4 linked regions of the Arabidopsis thaliana genome follow. The protein of the gene in region 4 interacts with the protein of the main gene of each other region in a pairwise test. Each region holds a gene or a part of one and is shown on either strand. Other genes may lie near its edges. The genes, in order: RKL1, FER, NHL3 and PIP2A.

Region 1 (6,451 bases), on a different chromosome or scaffold from region 4:
GTAACTTTTATCTATCGAGTGTAGGGAGTGGCGGATCGTGGAGCATCGGTGAGAGTAGGAAGAGATACGGAGAAAGAAGGTAAAGGGTATTTTGAAGATCGAAGGCCTTCGTCTAATATGGATCCTTACCTAGTTACCTCCATGATTGCTGAAACCACCATCCTCTAAGCTTTAGACTTTTCTTCGTTTTGGTTCTTTGTATGTTCTTCGAATTTCGGTTTGATATGGTTTAATTTCGCATTTAGACTTTTCTTTCAAATAAGTTACGAAATGTTATGTGATTTCTATTGTTTGATCCGGTTACGGTTCACTTTTAAGCCAAAAAATCTACCGTTATGACTCGAATAATTTGTAACCATCATCCTCGGCTAAGCTTTTTAGTTACATTTGAAGTCATTCAGTGAAGGGCGTTTGCATTGTACCATAGCATCCATATTAGATTATGTTTGAATAAGGGCATTGACCAGGAAAAAAACAATTGAACGGGCCTGACTTTATTAGCCCATATATCAAATTTACCGTCCGTTATTGTTCTTTTACTTTTCTAGTTACGTGTTGGTCCAAAAGAAAGGATTGAGAAACAAGAAACTTGTATACATATCTAGAAGTTAGAACCCATTTCGTTTCAAGCCTAATTAACCTCTACCGTTATGACTTGAATTCGAAGCCGTGTCTATGCAAAAGTTGACCAAAACATTGATTTTTCTTTTCTTATATTCAAGATTCAAGCTATGTCATAGAAGCTACCCTAAAGCTACATGCCTACATTATGCAGTTTTCGTCCATTGATGATTGATCTGTAACGTTTAATTATCAGGTTATAAGCATACACACATTTTTTCCTCGTCTATGATACGGTGAAAGCATTAATATAAGCTATAAGATTATATATCTCGTAGTCGAATGTATAAGTATTTTTTTGTTTTTACTGAACGATGTATATATTATACTTGGATTAATATGGGCTTATAGAGGGATCTAATTAAGAATTAGACGTATCTTGTGGTCAGGTAAAGTCAGTAGATACGTTCACGAAATTCATGTAAAATATATAACTAAATAAACTACTTGATTGGTCCACCTGCACGCATATACTCAACTACATATATGTATATATATGTTCATGCATGTTACGTATAGTTTATTATTGTAAGCCGGTATTTTCTTCATCACAGAAATAAATCAATATAGACGCCAAGAAAAACAAAACCAACTAGAAAAAGTCATTTAATATTTGAATCTTTTACGAGAAAAATAGAATTATAAGTTTCTCGAAACTATCTAACAGAAATTCTCTCCGACCAATGAAGAATAATCAATCTTTTTGGGTATTTGCTCTGGTCTTTCACGAGCAAATGAAACTTATAATTAATGGTAGTATTTGGTGAGAAGAAAAGGAGCCAAACCACATGAAAGAAAAAAAATGTAAATATTAATTGTAGTTGTCGTTTCGTTTCGTGTAACGCCCAACCATGTATCGCAGCACGTTACAGCTTCCTTTTGTTGCTGTATGTGTAAATGATCTAACCTAATACCATACTATTGCAAAGAAATAAAACTATTCCTTTGTCATATACTACTAAATTCTAGGAATAGTTGACACATAACCATAAACTTAAAAGAATTTGTAGATTTCTTACCTCCAAACGGAGTAGGACATGTAGTACATCTTAAAACTAACAGAAAATAAAAACGTTACAAATCATGATCTTGGCCCCTTATAGATAGTCATGATAGTTATCGACAAATAACGTCTAAGCATGCATGCATATTATTGACAAATTACACTTGAGAAAGTTGTATATTTTGAGATCAAATATTTGATAATATGCGCATGCACAACTTATATGGCATCTAACAAATGGTCCCGGACTATAGTAAAGGATGATACATATTATAGGGCCAATGTCGAGAATTTCTTAGATACAAAACAAAACTAAAGGAGGTCTTGTTTACAGAGTGGCCGAGACAGACACAAAACGAAGAAGATTTATTCCAAAAACTTTAATGTAATCAAATGTGGTTGTGAATTTGTGATCATCTTCTAACATGTTACGGTCCTACCAACTCTCTACCCACCCTTTTTCTCCTTTTTTAATTCTATATTAATATTATCAACAACTTCAATCTTATTATACTCCATAACTTAATTCTCTATGTTCCTTAATAATCCATTTTCTAGAGAACAAATGGTTAAGAAAATGTATATTTTTTTAATGTTGTGTATGCATTTTTATCAGGTATTGATGATGAATCGTAAATTTCAAAATAAAATAAAATAAATACTATTGGTTAAGAATTATAGAAAATTGTAATTTCCAAAAAATATATTTATAATCAATTTTTAATATGTTTTTTCTTATGTGTCAAAAATCTAAAAAAATAGATTAATTAGGAACATATAACTAGGGTTCTCAATTATCTAGGAGTCTTTATGCTAATTACAGAATTTAGATTAATATTAGTCTGTTATTTTACTACTTAAAACTGATATTTTAATTCCATTTACTGACAGTAAAAAAAACAGAACAGAAAAAAAACAATGAAAGATGGAAAAAAGGAGAAGAAGAGGATTAGGCTGTTGACTGCTTTCACTCCTTTTACAGCTCTCTTCTTCTCTCTTTAATAATAAAGTTTTCATTTTTATACCTTTCTCTCTCTCTCTCTCTCTCTTCTTCTTCTTCTTCTTCTTCGTCTTCTTCTCTGAATAGTCACAATGCGAGTCTTCTTCTTCCCCAACTCGTCCATGGCGATTCTCTCTGTTTTCCTCTCCCTCCTTCTCCTCTCTCTCCCTCTTCCATCAACTCAAGATCTCAACGCCGACAGAACCGCTCTTCTCTCTCTCCGCTCCGCCGTCGGAGGCCGTACATTTCGCTGGAACATCAAACAAACCTCGCCGTGTAACTGGGCCGGTGTCAAATGCGAGAGTAACAGAGTCACCGCTCTCCGCTTACCCGGCGTTGCTCTCTCCGGTGACATTCCAGAGGGTATTTTCGGTAACTTAACTCAGCTCCGTACACTTAGCCTTCGTCTCAATGCTCTCTCTGGCTCACTCCCTAAAGATCTCAGTACCTCTTCCAATCTCCGACACCTTTACTTACAAGGAAACAGATTCTCCGGCGAGATACCTGAAGTTTTGTTCAGTCTCAGTCACCTCGTGAGGCTTAATCTCGCTTCCAACAGCTTCACCGGAGAAATCTCTTCAGGTTTCACGAACCTCACGAAGCTAAAGACTCTGTTTCTAGAGAATAATCAACTCTCTGGTTCAATCCCTGACTTAGATTTACCTTTGGTTCAATTCAACGTTTCGAATAACTCGTTGAACGGTTCTATACCTAAGAATCTTCAGAGGTTTGAGTCTGATTCGTTTCTACAGACTTCACTTTGTGGCAAACCGCTTAAACTTTGTCCTGATGAAGAAACTGTACCTAGTCAGCCTACTTCTGGTGGAAACAGAACACCACCGAGTGTTGAAGGAAGTGAAGAGAAGAAGAAAAAGAACAAACTTTCCGGTGGAGCTATTGCCGGAATTGTGATCGGATGTGTGGTTGGTTTCGCTTTGATTGTTTTGATACTAATGGTGCTCTGTCGGAAAAAGAGTAATAAGAGATCAAGAGCTGTTGATATCTCAACAATCAAACAGCAAGAACCTGAAATTCCTGGAGATAAAGAAGCGGTGGATAATGGTAATGTCTACTCGGTGTCTGCTGCTGCAGCTGCGGCGATGACTGGAAACGGAAAAGCCAGTGAAGGGAACGGTCCAGCGACGAAGAAGCTTGTGTTCTTTGGTAACGCGACTAAGGTTTTTGATCTTGAAGACTTGTTGAGAGCTTCTGCGGAGGTTCTTGGGAAAGGAACGTTTGGGACGGCGTATAAGGCAGTGCTTGACGCGGTGACGGTTGTGGCGGTGAAGAGGTTGAAGGATGTGATGATGGCTGATAAAGAGTTTAAGGAGAAGATTGAGTTGGTTGGTGCGATGGATCATGAGAACTTGGTGCCATTGAGAGCTTACTATTTCAGCAGAGATGAGAAACTTCTTGTCTATGACTTCATGCCTATGGGAAGCTTATCAGCTCTCTTACATGGTGAGTTCATATCGAAACTTGTGCTTAGATTGAGTTTGGTTTCTTTTGAGGCAAGTCAATGCTTTTAGTGCCTATAGATAGGCTTGAATACATTTAGATTATGGTTAAGTTTAGTGCTTAATCTCTTTGATCATTGATTCTTAACATTGATATGATTTCCATAATACTTTGTATAGTTTCTGTGAATTGGTAGGGACAATGTGTTTAACATTGGATGCTTTGATCTATGAACAATGATTACTACTCTAAGACTTTGGTTTGTTCTCTTTAGTTTCTATAATTGTCTTTTGTCTGTTAACAGGAAACAGAGGAGCGGGAAGGAGTCCACTAAACTGGGATGTTAGATCAAGAATTGCTATTGGTGCAGCTCGTGGTCTAGACTACCTTCACTCACAAGGCACTTCAACATCTCACGGCAACATCAAATCCTCAAACATCCTCTTAACGAAATCCCACGACGCTAAAGTCTCAGACTTTGGCTTAGCCCAGCTCGTGGGATCATCAGCAACAAATCCAAACCGCGCTACGGGTTACCGTGCTCCAGAAGTAACCGATCCGAAACGCGTGTCGCAGAAGGGTGACGTGTACAGTTTCGGAGTGGTGTTGCTTGAGCTGATCACGGGTAAAGCTCCTTCGAACTCGGTGATGAACGAGGAAGGAGTTGATTTGCCGAGATGGGTTAAATCGGTGGCGAGAGATGAGTGGAGGAGAGAAGTTTTCGACTCGGAGTTGCTTAGTTTGGCGACGGATGAAGAAGAGATGATGGCGGAGATGGTGCAGCTAGGGCTTGAGTGTACGTCACAGCATCCGGACCAGAGGCCGGAGATGTCGGAAGTGGTTAGGAAGATGGAGAATTTGCGACCTTATTCTGGTTCAGACCAAGTGAACGAAGCTGATTAAGTCAAAGATTCTTAATTGTTAATTTATTTAATTTGAATGAAATGGTTGGGGAGAAATCAGGTTTATAATTTTAATTTCTAATTTTTGACACAACTTGTCAAAAAGGAGAAGGGGTTTTATTATTAGTGGGTGACTCTGCTGGCATTTGCAGTTGTTTGTGTTGGGCGTGAAGGGATTTGGTGGTGATTTGTAATTATTGTTGTTGCTTCCCTTTCTTAAATCTATTTTCTAAATTGTTACGTATCTTTTTGTCTCTTATGTTACATGTGAGTGTGACTTTTATATCGTAATATAAAGTTGTATACTGTGGTGGCAAACGCAGTTGGTCAGTGTTTTATGAAAAAGATGTGTTCAGTTTTTCGAACAAATACAAAATTGTTTTGATATACAATATTTTTTGGTTGGCCACTTGTGGAATGCCTTTTCCCGGCAGTGTGTTTTGATCATTTGAAATGAGAAAGGTTAGTGTTAATTTATACTAATTTAAATTGCAGTTTAATTTGTTCATTTTTATGTTGTTTCGGTTCCGTATATTTTGCACTTGTTTAGCTTATTATGGTAGATGGAAGTTATATGTAAGAACATGTCATATCAATATAAGAACATGCTTATTATTATCTCTTGCTATCAAAGTGACCCACATCTAATTTAGTTTTGATGGAGAGACAGCTAAATATACCAAAAATAAACACTCAACACATGATTTATGAAAATGAATTGAATGAATACAGAATACCTAATTTGCTATTATGTAAATGTGGACAACTCTTTTAATATTGGGTTGTCAACCATTTTGAATAATTCTTTTTGGTTCACAAAAACCACTATGACTTTTTTTTTTGGCTTGCAAACATTGACAGCTTTAAGAGTAAAGCATTTAATGCTAAAGGTATAAATAGGTGAGAATGGGTGGAACTGCAACAGTACTAAGGCTGCTATAATTGTATGACTCTTTTAGAGAGGTCCCAAAGGTACACATGATAGAGAGGGACCATAAAGAGATATTGGTTTCAAGAGAGAAGACGACATTAAGATAGTGATGATTCTATTTTATGTGCGTTGTCTCTTTACCTACATTTACGGTTGATGCGGCTGCTAATTGCCAATACAAACGCAAACCGCAATCGCTAACTATACATCAGTTTAGCAACATTGGTGTATGTCCCATTAATATGATAGGTTTAAAACTTTGGTTGGAAAAGGTATCACTCGTTGAGAATCTAATGAAAATATGTGACAGAGACAAATTGTCAATATATATAATAAATAATGCACTTTCACTCAGTATACTTGGACAACATTTCACAACCCTTCTATGAAGGTGGAACGCAAAAGCCTAAGAGACCATGTCCCATATATGCTGAACCACAAATCCAAACAAATATCAAACCGCAAAACACCAATAACCGCATTTGCAGATGCGTTTATGCGTCCAAATAAATGTTTTTTTTCTTTTCTTTTCCTCT
Region 2 (7,137 bases), 690 kb from region 4:
GTCACTCTAGCGTTTGGTAGACCAGTGGGTCATGTTAACTCGCCAAAACGAAACACCTCACCGGATGTTACAAGAACGAGGCCTAAAGGACGCTCTGCTTCTCCTTCTCTGATTCCGACTTTTTCAGGCACCTCACATACAACAACAACTCCCAAGTCTATAAAGCCATCTGCCACTGTTGCCGATTCAACTAGGCCAGGAAGGAAGTTGTCAAGAGCTTCTGTTCAAATGGCTATCAATCACTTGGTAATAACGTTCTCTTGTCATTATTTGATTATAGCTAAATATTTTTGTCATTTATAACGTTTATCGTGGTCAATAGTATAGTAACGTTTTTTATGAGGTTTTGCTTGACGATAATAGTGTCACTTCAAATGCAGGACTTGGCACGAAATGGTAAAGTTAGTACACATACGTTTTCAAGCCCAATGTTGTATCCACACAGCATCAGATCTTCTTCTTCGGGTCTAAGAAAACCGTGTGGTAGTAGTGAAGGCAGCTGCAGCAGCAGCAACCATGAAGAGGAAGATGGAAGAAGCTTAACGAAAGAAGGGAACAACACAGAGAACAAGAACGATAGTGCTCGTTACGACGCACTCTTGAATGTTAAAGATGTCAAGGATACAAACTGGCTACTTAACATTGATGATGAATCTCCTCAATCTCTCATCTTCGACAATGCTTTTGACTCTCCTCCTGATCTATTCTCTCCTCTCTGAGACTCTGACTCCTTTTGAGTTTTCTTTCCTGTTTGTTGTAGTTAAAAACAAGAGAGCTGCTTGGAAAAATAATCCTGTTTCACTCTTTTTAAATTCTTATGCAATCAAGAGAAAAACATTACACATAGTTCTTCTACTCGTTGTTTTTTTCTTTCAAAGTGTTTGTTTGTATTGATCAGCAGAAATATACAACTTTGACCCTTCTTGTTTAAATCAAAATATTTGCAAGAAAAGACACTATTGGTAGGATTCCGTTAAAATGCGTCTATATAGTAAAACAGAGAAGTGATTGATGTACTTCCGTTTATGTTCATAAGAGTACGACTTTGTAATAAATGGGTACTAGTTTGTTCATAAGAGTACGACGTGTAATAGAGTAAAGATGCAACAATTACCAAAAACGTTATAGATAACAAACCAAATAGTACATTGACGCGATTCATGTTTAATGTTTTTGTAGAAAGAAGAAAAAAAAATACATTATTTTTTACACTCTCCATCGTGGCATCAAATACACAAATCCAAAATTCTAAATAAATAACAGCAAAGAGAATAATAATAAATAGTTAAGAGGAAAAAAAATATAAAAAAGAGAAACGAACCGGTCTCCTTTGGATGGAGCCGGTTTAGAAAGGTAGTAGTGTTGTACCGTGTTATAAGACTTCTCTAACGTCCCTTTGGATTCATGATCTGAGAAAACACAGCACTTGGAGTGAGTCCATCTGAATCTTCGCTGGCCAAACTCCTACCACCGATGCTCATATCTATTCCACTGCTCCTCGAGTCCGTCACATTCCCTTCATACACATCAGAACTCTTGTCGTTCTTTCCTTTACAGTTTCCATCATCGTACTTAATCTCATCCATGTCCATGTCACCGCATACTCCTTTTCCGTTCTCTTCTGCGCTTTCCTGGAGCTGCAACGCAAATTCTAAGTTCCACAGAACATCTCCCATTGATGGTCTCTCAATGCCCTGGTCTAGAACACACTTCATCGCGGTTTCAGCAAACTTTTTGAAGCATTCTGGTGTGATCTTGCCCTTGAGGTAGGGATCAACGATTTGATCTAGCATGCCTTTCTTGTAGCAGTATGGTGCCCACTCAGCTAAGCTCACTTGTTCCTTTGCAAGTGTTGGGTTCAAGGCTGGACGAGCGCATAGAGCTTCGAATAGAACAACGCCAAAGGAGTAGACATCGGATTTCTCAGTCAGTTGCTGCCGTCTGAAATACTCTGGGTCAAGATAACCGAAACTTCCTTTCACAACTGTGCTTACGTGTGTGTGGTCTAGTGTAGGACCAGTCTTCGATAGACCAAAATCAGAGACCTTGGCCACCCATTTCTCATCCAATAGAATGTTTGTTGTCTTCACATCTCTATGGATGATTGTGTGTTTTGCACCAGTGTGTAGATAGTGTAAACCTCGGGCTGCTCCAATGCATATCTCAAGACGTTGCTTCCATGGAAGAGAAGGATTCTGGGTTTTGTAGAGATGCTCCCTCATTGTACCATGAGCCATGTAATCATAGACTAAGATCATTTCGCAGTTCTCTTCACAGTATCCAATCAAGGACACAAGATGACGATGTCTAAGCTTTGAAAGCATTTCAATCTCAGTCTGGAACTCATGTACACCTTGCTCGGACATTGGGTTGCCTCTCTTGATGGCTACCTTTGTAGTTCCGCCATCAATCTCTCCTCTGTAAACCTTGCCGAAACCACCAACACCAAGCACCCGGGACTCATCAAAGTTTTTAGTGGCAGCTTTGATCTCAGCAAACGAGAAGTGACGGCAAAGATTTGACGGAAGGGACGAGGCATAACTTCCTGTTGTGTTTGTCTTCGCCGAGCCAGCAGAATGTGAGTTTCCATACAGAGATAGTGGAAGCCACCCTGATGTTGCATCACTAGCAGGCTGGTAATCACCACGCTTACGTCTGCGGTAAGCACCAAACACACAAAACCCAATGATAAGGGCCAGAACAACTGCACCACTGGCTGCGCCTGCAATAATAGCCGTATTGCTTTTCGATTTCCTAGTAGTCGGGCGTAGGACTTTAGATGGATCAGCAGTCACCTGTGGACCAGGTATAGGATTGGTACCAGCCAGATTACCATCAGAAGTATTCATCTTGAATATCTCCACTCCATTAAGAAGAGAATCATAATACTCCGGCTTGTTAACTGGGTTAGGATGAAGAGCAAGCCACAAATCTTGCTGTCCATTTCCCTCTGGAGGATTCACCACGTAATCCTTGTGAAACGGAACCCCGTTTGAACTAGTCCAAGCAATCACATCAGCTTCAGGCTCAGCAGTTTGATTGTTGAGGTAGATTGTAAACACCCGTTGGTTGATCTTAGTGATATTCGAAGAAACCTCACAGAAATGAAGTCTAACAAGGTAAGTGAAACCAGAGTCAATGCTGAAAATCCAAGTAAGATTGTAGTTGAGATTGATCTGAGCTGTTGGACCCATAGACCTCGCGGTTGAATAAACATCCACAGGAGCAACATAAGTAGGAGTCCCCGTAGGATACTTAATCGTCATGTTGGGATCAGCAGTCTCTGGAATACCAAGTCCTGCACCAAATATATAAGGCTGATCATCATACCACGACCTATACAAACCCGTATCCGCGGAAGGCGAGATATCATTCCCTCCAACATTGAGCCTATACACATTCTCAAGAGCAGTACTGTTATCAATAGTAACAGAGCCAGATGATCCAACCATAGTCAAAGTCCCATCAGTACTACTATACATATCAGGCATTGAAGTAACCTCAATCCCATTAACAAACGCATACGCATTAGACGGAGCTGATTCCGGTGTAAACGTCATGTTCAACGTTCCACCTTCAACGTTGACAACAAACTCCTTGATGATGAAAGCGTAAGTCAACGCCTCCGCCGTCTGAGAAGCACTGAAATTCTTGAGAAGAGTGTAAGGACCAAAGGAGACGGAGAATAACGAGTTGGTAGCGTTGAGACCGTCGTACGAGTTTGGGTAGAAGTAGAGACGCACGAATTTACGACCTGATGCTACAGGGAAAGTGTAAGTGAAAGGAGATCGGAAAACTCTCGCCGTCATGTAAGGAACTTCGGGAACGGAAGGATCTTGTGTTAACGCTGGTGATGTTTTAGAGTCTTCAGAGGAAGATGATAAGAATTTTGATTTGACATCGGAGATCCATATACGGTTATCTGTGTCGGTTAGATTAGAAGCACCACCACCGCAATTCAATAGGATTTTCTCTGTTGGAGAGTAATCAGCAGCTGAGATTAAAGTTGCTGCAGATATGAGAAGAAGAAGAAGAAGAAGAGAGAGACGGAATCGTCCCTCTGTGATCTTCATCGATCAAGAGCACTTCTCCGGGAAGATCTTCTTCTCAGATCTATCAAACGAAAGAAAATCGAAACTATAAACTTCACAGATCTAAAAATGGAAAGTGCTAGAGGTACATGTTCGTTTGGTTACGAAAATTGAGCTTAAGAAACAGATGAAATTGAAGTTTGAATACAGTAGTAAGGGAGAGTGAAGTGAGGAAGATGATGATGATGATTACATACCTGAAGAATCGGGGAAGAAACCCTAAGCGATGAAATCGGAGAGAGTTTTTGGAGAAGACAGAGATATTTTGGGGGAGAGAGAGAGAAAATCAATTAATGAGTGGAGAGGTAAGTATAGTCAAGACGACGACAAAACGGACAAGCATTGTTGCTTCCCTCTACGCGTTAACGTTATTTTAATTTCAATAAGATTAAATTAAGATATAGTTATCGGGTTTAATTAATTGAAGCCGGCTTGAAGGTGGGTGAAGTGACGATAATGACCTTTGAGTATCAACAGCTGGAATTATATATGTCTTGACCATTCGAAGGATAATGTTGATTGGTATGGTTTGGATGACAGTTCATAAAATGTGAGAGAGTAAATCCATTAAACTAAAGAAAAGACAAGAGAATTTTATGAAACGCGTATTTTTGTGTGCGGTGGTGACTGCTCGTGGCTGAGCTGGTACTCTATATTATACTATAAAGGGAAAGAATGGGGCCTGCTTTGATAATAACTCGTTAGTTAGTTAGGATAGTTTACGTAATCATGGGCTTTTTACTCTGATTTCAGTTTATCTCCTATGGCCCAGTTATAAGTGGGCCTTATCTAACGTGCACATGATATATGTTTATGACAATCGGCGTAGCCTCCTTTTGATCGATCATGTCTAAGGTAAGGAGTAACCTTGATCTCCGATGTCAAATCCAAGTAACCTTGAATACAAATAAACCGTGGTTAAGGCCGAACGTGTGCAATTTTTTTGGTCTACACCTTCTTGATTCAAAACAGAGTTTGTGATCCTTGTTTTCTCAGTCTTTCAAAATAAAATAAAACTTTAAACCATTACATCAAACATGCACTAAATATTTACATTAACATATCATTAATTCTCTTTCAGACAACACATTTTTTTTTGTTTATGCCAATTTTAAATAATAAAAATTACATTTCAAACATACATGTTTCTGCTACTTCGCATTTGGGCACGCATGAGACGAGTCACATACATACACTCTTCCCAGTTCCCACTCTTAACTTTTCTTCACTCTAGGCAAACACAACCACCAAACCTACCAACTCGCTTAAATCGAAGCTTACCAATCACACTTGAAAGCTTCGGAGAATGATTCTTACTTAAACTCATATCCTTACTTGCATTTGTTACACTCAGACTCGCCGCACCAGTTGCAGCTGTTATAACACAAACATCACATTCTGTCACCATGCAATTACCGCCTAAGACCTTGTTTCTTCCATTTACTGCTTGGAATTCAAATTCAACGTGATCAGCCATTATATTTGGTTTGTTTCCCTCACCACCACCTCGATGCATTTCGGCATCCTCATAAAACACAAACATGTGATCCCTTTGAACCTCAGGAGCTTCTCTCGGAGCCCAACACCTAAACACTTTCTCTGCTTTACCAGTGACCACCCTTTTCTTTGTCTTCCATCTGCTTACGCACCTAACGCCAAGCCCAGCGTTGTTGTGACTATCATCCGAAAACGATACTACAACGAAGATAGCAAACCCCAAGAGTGTCTTTCGCAGGGAAGGAGTTATCTCTATCGTTGCAAATGAACCTGCCCGCAAATTATAAGAGGTTGCCTGATCTGCTCCTGCAGGCCCGCAAATGCTGAATGCAAGTGCTTTGATGAGTTCCTGGTCCCAACAAGAAAAAGGAAAATTACATATACGCTAAAGTATGTATGAGTGAGAAAGAAGGGACATGAGAACGAGAGAGTTACCTGCTGATGTTCGTTGCCAATGCTTGCTACTTTAGCCAGGCCTTTTACAACTCGTTTTCTAGCCACTTTTGGAGACTTATTGAAGCAATCGCTGAAGGTGTAATGACTAGGAAACTGCTCAAATCCCCAAGAAACTGACTCTAGAGACACACAACCATGCACGTTCAACAGTTTCAGGCTTTGGGGAAGCGCCGGAAGCAATATGAGGTTTCTACAATGTCTTAATCTAAGGCTATGTAGTTTAGATAACTGCTTTATGCTTTCAGGGATTTTGCTGAAACCATTCCGACCAAGATCCAACAGCACTACTGAAGGCAAGGAACAAATCTCTTCCGGTATATGCATCAAGGATGCATTGAAGAGGGATAAAGATACTAGGGCATAAAATCTTGGGACCAAGCCATGTAAACTTGAAGATGGCAGCCTTGGTCGAGGCAAATATTCTCTACGCTGCTCTGCATTCTCATTGAAAGTCAAGAGAAGATAATTCAAATTACTGATGCCAATTTCTGATATACCATTCTGGATAATTGATGTTGATACTTCTCTTATGGACATCCCAGATGGATCCGTTAGCTTAAGTGTGACAAGAGATTTTAAGTTACTAATCTCCATTGGAAGATGTTGAAGCCTTTTGCAATTCTGTAAATCTAAAACTACAAGTTCTGAGAGATGCTTGATTAACGATGTCACTTCCTGTATAGCGGTGCCAGCAAGATATAACTCTTCCAAGTTTCTTGGGATACCTTGAATATCCTCAAGTTCTGAGCATCCAGAGAGATTTAACACCGCAAGAGAACTCAAGTTACCTATTCCCATTGGTAACTTGTGAAGGCGTTTGCAGTTCTCCAAATCTAATACAACCAGTTCAGAAAGATGCATGAGCGAAGGCAGTTCTTTTATGGCTGTACCACCAAGATATAACTTTCTTAGGTTTTTTGGTATACCCTGAATATCCTCAAGCTCTAAGCATTGAGAAAGATCAAGAACTTTGAGGTTGTCTAGATAAACCATGATTGACAGACTTTGCGAATCAGACGAGACCTCCCGATTCAAGAATTTGTGATCTTTATGATCATAAATAAATGAGTTATCTTGTGGAGAGAAGGTCACA
Region 3 (4,530 bases), on a different chromosome or scaffold from region 4:
ACACAATGAGCAGAGAGATGGAAGCCTTTAGTCCTCAAAGGTTTCTGCTGACACCTTTTCTTATCCTGTGAGTTGATGTTCTGCTTCGTCCGTTTGTTCTTCAGTTTAAAACACACTTTCTTACCATTTCAGAATGTGTGGGGAGAAGTTTTCACCGAGATGGAACCCAATCGCGCGTTGCATTAGTCGTTCACATTCTGAAATCACAGGTAATAACCAGCTAATTGTTTGGAATTGTGGAAATTTGACATAACGTTTAATATAATACTTATGGTTTAATCTTTTCTAGGGGTTGCCCATGACGATGCTCCATTTGTTTCTCTGATGGACATCCTGACCTATCACAATGTAATGTATCCAAAAACCTTGGATTTATCATAAGTTGTAGGAAAAGAGTATAGTGAAAACTTTCTTGAATTGATGTTTTACTGATGCTTATTATGCAGGTGACTGCTAAATTCAGGTGTGTTGTTCGGTTCATACAAGTGTATCCCCGAGACGTCAGAAAACTCCGTGATATCAACGGAAATATCAAATTGGTAGCTATACTAGAAGATGCAACCGCCAGAATCCATGCTTCTCTATATGCTGATGAAGGGGTAAGTAAAACACGATTAATTATTAGTGTTCATTGAAGGATTGTCTAATACTTATATCTGTATATCTTTTTACAGGAAAAGTTTTTCGGGTGTGACGAATCTGATGAAGAGGCTCTAGTCAAGAAGCTGAATAGATTGTTGGGAGGTGAAGAGATGGAGAAAGTGCCAAGAAATCCTCCATGGGTACAATGTTGCTTGTTCTCATTCTACAAACACAAAATGGATCAGTGGGAAAGCAGAAGATTCCGCATTTTTGATACTTGGATCAATGCTTCATGAGACAATCATAATGCTAATTGTATAGTTATTAGCATTAAACAAAATGTGATTATTTATTTACATGGAACCATACAATAAAACATTACATAAGAAAAATATCTCTCTCCAACGATATGTATGGAAGATAATAAAGCAAAACAATCTAAAATAAGAATCAATAAACAAGTGTAATATGATGAACTCGAAGAAGACTATAATAGCATTGACTCTTGACTAGCAATCAAAAGTCAACGTCACACTTGGTCGGCTGAAAAACAAACCCGCTGGTTGAATTAGAGGTAAGAGGAACCTTGAGATCGCACTTGATCTTGGGCTTGAACCTCCACGACTTGATCAACCCAAACTTAAACCTAATCTTAAGTCTCAGCTTGGCATCGATCCTATAGATCTGAGAATTCACATCCTCGTTCAAATCCTTCCTCTCTCCGCCGTCAAGCAGCACCAATTGCTGTCCCACGAGTTTAGTTCCAACCACCGTCGTGTTCTTATGTCCCTGGTAAAACTTCGAGATGTTGTTACTCATACCGAATCGCTGATCACCGTAGTATCCTCTGACTTCGATTTCATCATAGTAAACACCGATCCGGCGGTTAGGGTTACGGATTGTGAAATTGAGATCGAGATTGTATCGGAGGTTGTTGGTTGGGTCGAGTGTGAATTCGGTGAGTTTAGCGTCGGTGACGTGGAATTTGATAGCGTTGGGTCTGAAAATGAGCCAGATGATTAGAGCAGCTATGCCTAATAAGACGGCTATGGTTATGAGGATGTTGAAGATGACGCTTAAGATACAGCAGCCGCAGCAGCCAAGACAGTCACCTAAACAACCGCATCCACCGCCGCGTCTGCCGTGGCTGTGAGAGACTTTCTTCGGCGGTGGAATCGATGGTCCGTAATACGCACCGTTTAAGTCCGCCATCTGTTCGTTAAAATGCCTCAGAGAACGATTTTGAAAGAAAGTTTTTTTTGGTTTGTGATAAGATTTTGAAAAAGTAAATATGATTTGAAGTGAAGAAGAAGAGGCCGTAATATATATACACTGTAGAGATAACGTGTATTAGATAAAACGATTTAATTTGACGCGGTTTTGTTTTTTCAAAGTCAAAGGTGACGCGTCGGTTTAATATTGTTCGATGAAAATTTGATTTAAGTAGAGGTTACTTGCGAGATTGTTATTAGATATTTAGGATTAACAGTTTGATATACATTAAAGATTGTTTCTTAAATTTTACTATATGGTTTCTTCTTCAATTTGACTATGTATACTTTGGTTAAGCTTAATGAGATTATTTCTTGAATCCATATATACATGATTTGGTGATTAATGAGGTTAGTGCCGATCGCATACAAGAATATCCATATGTAGATATTTATTTATATATTCTTTTATTATATAAGACATGTGAGAATGTGATGATACTTAGTGCGGTAGTTAGTTTGTGAATTGTGAATAGTCATTTTTACAATGTAACTAAGCTTCCGAGAAACTTCCCCAAAAGCGACTGCTCTAATATAGCCATTGTTTCTTAAACTTGACGAAAGACTTTTGAGAACAAAAATAGAAAATGTGGCCAAAATATCAATAAGCCTATACAAAGTTAGAAAAAGACAAACCAGTCCCGGTCAAGAATTTCGACATTATATATATAACATGATGAAATGAAATAACTTTGATCTATAGGTTGCAAGTTGAAACTGAGGTGGGGTTTTCCAAATGTTTATTTTATAACTATGAGAACAGTTCTACTGATAAAGGTTATTTAATTAATTATCAATTAATGAAAATGTTTAATGTGAAAGATTTCTCAAATTCAAAGAAAATTAAACATTGCAAAGACTTGTTAATGTTATAATGCTAAAAGCAAGGAAAACTAAGGGAGGTTGGTGTTTAGAGTTGGATGATGTGACCTGTAATTGAAAGGAAGATTAGGTGAAGCCATGCTTTCAAATGTTTACATCTTTCTTCAATGAGAAAGGTCAAGCATATTTAATAAAGAATAATAATACTAGATCGCAACTCAATCATATTAAACTTTAAAACAACTATGGAGGATTTATAAAAACAAATGTAACAACTAAAAAAAGTATTCTTATAATATGAGATGTAATGTGTTTTATTTATTTATTAAAGTAGTCAATGTAGTTTAAGAAATTTTTATGTGTTATACGGTATAACAATAATTTTCATTGTATATGATAAGTAATACACAATAATTTTAAAGAAAAACCTGGTGATGAACAAACGTGTTTGAAAAACTTGTTAGAGTTTAATGCGGTGTCAATGTGTGTGGTGATAAAACATTAAACTAAATTAGACAACAAATATTTCACGAAGACTCCTTCAATCTTAGCCGTTTGGACGAAATAGATCATTGGAATTGGACAAATAAATGATGAAGACTTTGGTTGTTCTTAGGGTTTTGAAAATGGAGGAACCGACGACCGATCCCTATCTACTCAATTCCGATATTCATCCGAATAAATTATTGAGAAATTGCGTTGAATAGATGTCCACTAAAGTTTAAATGGACATATATCTAAGGAAGTAACATATAGGGTATACTTTTCATGTAATCTATTACTAATTCTAATTTGGTGGTTGTCACCATAATTTTGTGTTGTTAATCATTGTTAAAATCTGGAATACAATACGACTCGAAAGTCGAAACTGTATCGTGTTAACCAGTGGACCAATGATACAACTCCATGATTCATTTTACTTACGTTATCCTTTGGTTATGAATGTTTATTCTATGTTTTGGTTATGAATTTCTCTAGATGAACAAAATCGAATCTTTATGTATATATTCAAGTCTTGATCATTTACACGCTTAATAAAATGTATGACTTCAAAAAGGCAAAAAGGGAAGGTTATGTAGACAATTGTGTGTTTTTATCATCTGCTTTTTTACAGTATAACTTCGGTTCCAAACTAGGATTGTATATTCATGGATTGATGGGCGTAAAGTTTCTCATCATGCTGATCAATTACCTAGATTACGTATGGCAAATTTTCAGTACAATGTTTCGAAGATTTTCAATTAAAATTATGTTTATATACAAACTGGATTCGGCAGCGTGTATATGTACAAAGGAAACAAAACACGTGGGAGTTAGTAGATAAATGGGACTAAGATTAAAAAATTGCATAAAAAATCGTTCACAAACACATCAAATATTTGTTGGTGACGAATCTAACGAACAAATTGCGTACGTTATGCTCAAATTGGACCTCGCTCTTATGTACATTTTGAATGTTCTCACATTGGACTTCTTTCTGAAATACATATACATATCGAATATAATAACAATAGCACATGTAATGAATCATTTCGCAAGTTTTCTCTCTTGGAGAAAGTGGATTCCAGATTGAGAATTACGCCTACAAATCTCTTAACAAAAGAGGCAAAATTAGTCGAAGCAGTTGGTTATAAGATGACTTCATTATTAACCCAAAAAATACATAATATAGAATATTCGTGGGATTCGAACGTTGGAGAAAAATACCCTATTTCTTGTAAAATAAGCAACATGATTCTACTTTTTATCATTTCAAGATCCAAGAATATTTAGGAGACAAACTAACCAATATATTAGGAATATAGATTTGATCAAGAGTTTTTCCTTTGAATGTACTGAACTGTTGTAAAGAGCC
Region 4 (5,828 bases):
GATAATTGCCTTGGTACTGAGCATTAGGGTTTGGATACGGCGGCGAAGTACGGTCCCGATGATTTTCCGGGCGGCTTCCACCGCTTATGACATTGCCCATGATCCAACTTTGCGAAATTGAAATTGCAAATCGATTACAAAAAGATGAAAGAGAGTGGGAGGAAGATGATCAGAAAAGCAGGTCAACTAACTTTGTGGGCTAAGATACAGGGCCACACGTATCGGCCCATATAAAATACCAGTTTTACCCTATATTTATTTCAACTCAAAACGATTACTTGCGCTCGAAGATTCTGTTGATCTCCTCTCTCCGCTGATAGCTCCATCTTTCTCTAAAGCTTCTCTCTTGTGTTACAGGTTCGATAATAAACAAGGTCGGATTTACCTGATCAAACGTTTGTAATGTGGGACAAACGTCGGAGGGGAGACACAACTTTTCAGGCATGTCCATTTCCTCCAAAATTTCCAGCACGGTGGCTCTGGCCAGAAGACTTACGAGAAGGTGTGTTTTGTCCTCTCACTCACAGGTGAAATAATTTACCAGCACAACAAGTTTTTCTCCTTCTTCTTTTTGTTTCCCACACAGATGCAACGGGTTCAGGAAGGTCTCGTCTACGGTTAATGAACAGAGGAAGCTTCGGGAGACGTGTATTAGATGGGGTGAATATGCCTTTTCTTGTACATTATGCGATGTTGTTTGCCAAATCTTTGAATTGTCCGCCAAGCATCTCCAGAGTAAACAACATAAATCGTTCGTAAGCATCCCAGCCTATTGTATCACTACATTCGTCATTTTCTTACTACTGTATGAGGTCCCTTTAGAAACTTTCTCGATATCAAATCTGATCTACTGGGTTTGTGACACTCAGCTCTTCCCGAGAGGTTCAAAACTCCATCAATTCTTTGAATGGTGCAGTAGTATCATCATTTCTCTTCTTCGCATAACAATTTATTCGATTAGTACTTCTTACAGTAAATGATCAAACATCTAACACATGTTTTACTTTCGTAATTAAAGGATTTGGATGGTAGGCAGTCTCAGAGGCTGAGGCTAGGCCACCAAGAGGCCAATTTTGAGCGGCCACACCTCTTCACGTTCTCATAAAAAATGCAGATTCTGAAGGGTAAGACTCTCAATCCTCAGCCAAGTTCGAGCATTTCCTATATGATTCATAATTGTCAAGTAACAAACGACTAAGTATGTTGAATCTTGAATGTAACAGTTTCTGTGAGCCTTTGAGGCATATGGGGTTAATGGACAATGGCGGTTTCAGAGAGTAACTAAAACTTACTGCTGGTGCACGCTAGGCTTTATCCGCCTGAGATGTATGAAGACATAAAGGAATGGTCTTTTCTAGAAAGATAATGATTGCGTTAAAGCAGAGACATGTGTTTCTCCAAAATCCTGCTTATTCACTGAGCATCTTGAGGAGGACGTAAACAAGACCAAGAACATGGCCCCATGGTGTTGTTATTCTCTAAGGAAACTAACTTTAGTACTAGTATTAATGTAAACACAACGCATAAGAACCTCTTTGATTTCATTGATTATAATTCCAATCACTCGTTTAAAAGCGAAAGAAAAAACAATTACACCGAAGGAAAATTCACAAAAGAGCAAGTGGAAAACACAAATATAAGAAAGGGAAATGAAAACTGCAAGTGACTGATTTAGATTTGTACAGAGAGATCACAACTTCATTTATTCTTGAGAAATCTGGTTTGATGTGTTTAGACGTTGGCAGCACTTCTGAATGATCCAAGAGACTTAGAACCTGAAGCTCTCAGAACGAATTGGTGGTAGAATGCAGCTATCGCAGCTCCAATGAATGGTCCAACCCAAAATATCCACTGTTTGTAATCACCAAAATTTCAAAACATTATTCCCTTGTAAAAATGAAAAATATAGTTGAATGTAATGGAGAAACGTTGAGGTCTTACGTGGTCATCCCATGGCTTGCTCTTGTTGTAGATTACGGCAGCTCCGAAACTCCTTGCCGGGTTAATTCCGGTTCCGGTAATGGGAATGGTAGCCAAATGTACCATGAACACGGCAAATCCGATTGGAAGTGGCGCCAACACCTTTTATTTCATCAAAATTCAAATTTATTAGTATGATTGAAATCAAATGTTGGTTTGGTTTGCTTTGGTTCCGGTTTTGAGTCGGTTAACCATATTGAAGATTAATAGCACTACATATGTGACTCACCGGAACGTGGGAGTCTCTGGCACTACGTTTGGGGTCAGTGGCAGAGAAGACGGTGTAGACAAGAACGAAAGTACCAATGATCTCTGCGGCTAGACCGGTCCCTGTGCTGTAGCCATCGGCTAGAGAGTTGGCTCCACCTCCGTAACGGGTGTAGTAAGAGCTTTGGAAGGCTTTGACAAAACCAACTCCACAAATCGCACCCAAACACTGAGCGATTATGTACAATAGGGCCCTAGGTAACGACACTTTACGTGCCAAGAATAGCCCAAATGTCACCGCTGGGTTAATGTGACCACCTAAGGAAACAAAAAGAGTTGACAATGTTACCAGTACTTGAGAATTAAGGTACAACAAGCAATTAATTAACCGGTTTCAATTCTGGTTAAGACAGGGTTAGTCAGTTGCTTAAAATAATTACTAGGCTTAGATTAGATATATATCATTCGGATAAGAACCGATTTGATCATGACCCTTATTAAATGTTTTATAAACAAATCATTTTCGTCTTTTAAACCTAAGATTTTAAACCGATTAAATAGTAATGTCAACCAAGCAATATTTTTCCTTGCAAAATAATTAATTTCGAATAAACAAACCAAAACCATACCATATAATTTTTACTTGTCTAAATTTTGAGTTTGCAAGTTGTACTTACATAAGTAAAACTTATTCAGCTTATTCGGTTTAATTGTAATTCTAATACTCAAAAAGTGTATAATCTTAATCTAAACCAAACCAAAATCAAGATTAAAGAAGGATCATACCAGAGATACCGGCGGTGCAGTAGACGAGGATGAAGATCATACCACCAAAGGCCCAAGCGATACCGAGGATTCCAACTCCGCCGCAATCTACGCCACCGGCATCAGTATCGGACTGAATCTTGTAACCGATGACTGTCAAAACGGTGATGTATAAGAAGAGGAGAGTGGCTACGAACTCTGCGATAACTGCTCTGTAGAAAGACCACTTCTTTAGCTCCGCTCCATCAATAAACGGAGCTGGTGGCGGATCTTGATAGTCTCTTGTCTGAAATCCTTCTCCGGGAACGGCTTCCACATCCTTTGCCATAGTTAACTTCTTCTTCTTTCAAACAATAGCTTTTTTTTCTTTTGCTTCTCTGTTGGAGTGGTTAGTGAGAAGAACATGTGCTCTGTTTTATAGTGAGAGCTCTCCTTCTTGTTAATTTGTTTGTATACTTTTTTATTGCTTTATCTTTTAAAAAATATTTTTAGTATTTTTGCCAACGTTATATGTTTTTTTGGTTTTTTGTGTATTGAGGTTTTTTTTTGGAATGAAAGTTTGTATTTTCAATGAAAAAATTGGATATAAAAGTATACGAGTGAGTTATGATTATTATTATTATGAGGGAAGTAGCTTTGACAAAATGATTATGAACTAGCTGTCCTGAAATAAATTTTGAACCAATTCTATTTAATGATTGCTTGATATATCAATATCATACATAGTTACTAATACGTAAAGACAAGAACCCTAGTTTAATTTCAGACTTAGAGTTTTTCAATCGTTGAAATTTGAAAAATTCAAATAAGTTAGCCAGTAAATTTCTTTAAAATTTGATTCGAGTTTATTTTAGATCCTAAATTAGAATAGTTTATTCTATTTAACGTTATAGTTTGCACCAAGTCCATGACAAAAAGATTGATCCAAATCTATTGAACATGCGTCTATAAATACATGATAATGATATGGGATTAGCTAGCTTATGATATCATAAAACAAGACTTTATATCCACTCATATAAACTTGCATAGTTTTATCTCTCGTAGCAATAGGAAGTATCAATCAGTGGTGATGGTGGAGAGCTATCAGAACCACAACTTTGAAATAATTTATTAGTTTTTATGTCAATCAAATTTTTATATGTTTTTCTGGTAAATAATGGAGGTTTTTTTTGTTTACTTTAACTTAGCCTCGCCGCCCCCATCACCTAAATGTCATTTTCTTTAGGACCGACCCAATATACTATATCATCAATATGGTGCTCTCTTCTTTTTGTCGTATAATATCATAGCCTGTCGATTTTTCAGATTTAAAAAGCCACAGTTTTTGTATGCCAAATCATTTTAAAATAACTTACGTCCACTTTTTTTTTTTATCGAATCAGCATTTACATTCTTGAAAACACATAACAAAACTCCAAAACCTTATTTTGCTCCAACGAAGCATGGCTAAGTTTCTTCACTCCAAATCCAACTAATCATGCATGGTTATATTCGAGTGTCTCATTGTATATATAGAGAACATTTTTCTTGTTCACCAAAGTCAAAACACTTTGTTTTCAAAATAGATAGATATATGGTCATTCTCTTACATTATAAACATTTTTGTAGTCTAGAAGGTCTAGTTTTCTATCACCAACATATGTTATTAAGTATGTTTGAGGTGTCATAAAACAAAACCCTACTTGAAGATGTTAGAGCCGGAACTCAAAATTATGACACAATATTAAAGAAGCATAAACTATTTCGTTCACAAACTTTCATTTCAAACTTAATTGACGATAAGTAAATTGATTCGTCGTATATCTTATCACACATAACTCAAATTAGCATTTAAGTTGATATTACTAACATAAAGTAACCAAAGCCTAAACGAACCCTTTTTCATAATTGTTGTGTTGGTATATCACTCTCTAAAACCAGGGTGTAAAGTTATGGTGCCGTTTTGTGGGGTGGGTCGAGATTCCACTGAGGTTAAAATCATATGGTCTGTGTTGGCAAAAGGTGACACGTGAATGGGTGGCGCGCGTGACTAACCGACCCGATCCCTCCGACAAACGTATCGTCACCGTCCAATCCATCTCAGCATATAGCCGTTTGTTCGCTCAACCACTCACATAATGCCACGTTTGTTGTCCCCACCAATCATTTGCATTTTCTCTTCATATCCAAAATTTCATATCTTTTGCGAAAATTGCTGACAATTAGACTGAAAACGAAAATATAACAAAACAATAAATCCCAATAAAAATGACAAATTGTGACAACCAAACAAAAGACAGGAGATGCAGTTCCATGGTTATCGTTTTGCCATGTGGCAAACCTTATCGTTTTGGCTACGTTGGTCGGCTACTATTAGACGAATATTCCACGTCAGCCAACTCTTTTTTCTCATGTTTTTCGAAGTGAATTTTAGATAATAAAAGCACAGAAATGTGAATTTTCTGGTTCTGGTTCTGTTGTTAATTGTTATTAGTATGTTTATTTATATATTTTACACTTTCTTCTATTCATAGAAAACTAGTCTTAACCTTATCTAAATATTCTAGACAAATCGAGTTACATATAGTATGACGTCGTTATGCATAAATTTTGTCCTTTTTAGTCACTCCAATTGAAAGAATTAGTCCAGAATGTACTACAGCAAGATCAACAAACATATATTGATTTATCTGTCTTCATAATTAATAATTTAATATGCATTCAAATGATAATCAATTGGATATATACTTTACATGATATTTACAGATCAAAAATTTCTATATTGTAATTTCCGATTACTTAAATGAGTAAAATATAAAAGTCATATGAAGTCCAAATTTTATTGTACCGGAAAGGACAAATAAATTCATATAAAGTCATGTTCTATTGAATCT

What was found.
Region 1: the proteins of PIP2A (region 4) and RKL1 come close enough for resonance energy transfer, tested with the Arabidopsis thaliana proteins (one study listed by BioGRID).
Region 2: the proteins of PIP2A (region 4) and FER come close enough for resonance energy transfer, tested with the Arabidopsis thaliana proteins (one study listed by BioGRID).
Region 3: the proteins of PIP2A (region 4) and NHL3 come close enough for resonance energy transfer, tested with the Arabidopsis thaliana proteins (one study listed by BioGRID).

The regions. Positions count from the first base shown.
Region 1 is NC_003070.9:17,915,759-17,922,209, forward strand, and holds RKL1 (receptor-like kinase 1), read left to right. Parts: upstream 1-2,448; 5' UTR 2,449-2,716; coding exon 2,717-4,085; intron 4,086-4,386; coding exon 4,387-4,985; 3' UTR 4,986-5,358; downstream 5,359-6,451. Other genes in the region: GLN1;5 (glutamine synthetase 1;5), read left to right, coding at 25-168.
Region 2 is NC_003074.8:19,116,492-19,123,628, forward strand, and holds FER (Malectin/receptor-like protein kinase family protein), read right to left. Parts: upstream 4,459-7,137; 5' UTR 4,289-4,458; intron 4,114-4,288; 5' UTR 4,074-4,113; coding exon 1,386-4,073; 3' UTR 1,093-1,385; downstream 1-1,092. Other genes in the region: AT3G51540 (mucin-5AC-like protein), read left to right, coding at 1-246, 381-719; AT3G51560 (Disease resistance protein (TIR-NBS-LRR class) family), read right to left, coding at 5,317-5,937, 6,024-7,137. UniProt on the Arabidopsis thaliana protein: Receptor-like protein kinase that mediates the female control of male gamete delivery during fertilization, including growth cessation of compatible pollen tubes ensuring a reproductive isolation barriers, by regulating MLO7 subcellular polarization upon pollen tube perception in the female gametophyte synergids.
Region 3 is NC_003076.8:1,929,918-1,934,447, forward strand, and holds NHL3 (NDR1/HIN1-like 3), read right to left. Parts: upstream 1,852-4,530; 5' UTR 1,795-1,851; coding exon 1,099-1,794; 3' UTR 879-1,098; downstream 1-878. Other genes in the region: AtPOT1b (Nucleic acid-binding, OB-fold-like protein), read left to right, coding at 1-40, 133-209, 290-348, 447-599, 675-878. UniProt on the Arabidopsis thaliana protein: Confers resistance to Pseudomonas syringae pv. tomato DC3000 (Pst DC3000).
Region 4 is NC_003074.8:19,802,175-19,808,002, forward strand, and holds PIP2A (plasma membrane intrinsic protein 2A), read right to left. Parts: upstream 3,557-5,828; 5' UTR 3,281-3,556; coding exon 2,974-3,280; intron 2,506-2,973; coding exon 2,210-2,505; intron 2,083-2,209; coding exon 1,942-2,082; intron 1,852-1,941; coding exon 1,732-1,851; 3' UTR 1,299-1,731; downstream 1-1,298. Other genes in the region: LUL2 (RING/U-box superfamily protein), read right to left, coding at 1-100. UniProt on the Arabidopsis thaliana protein: Water channel required to facilitate the transport of water across cell membrane. Probably involved in root water uptake. Its function is impaired by Hg(2+).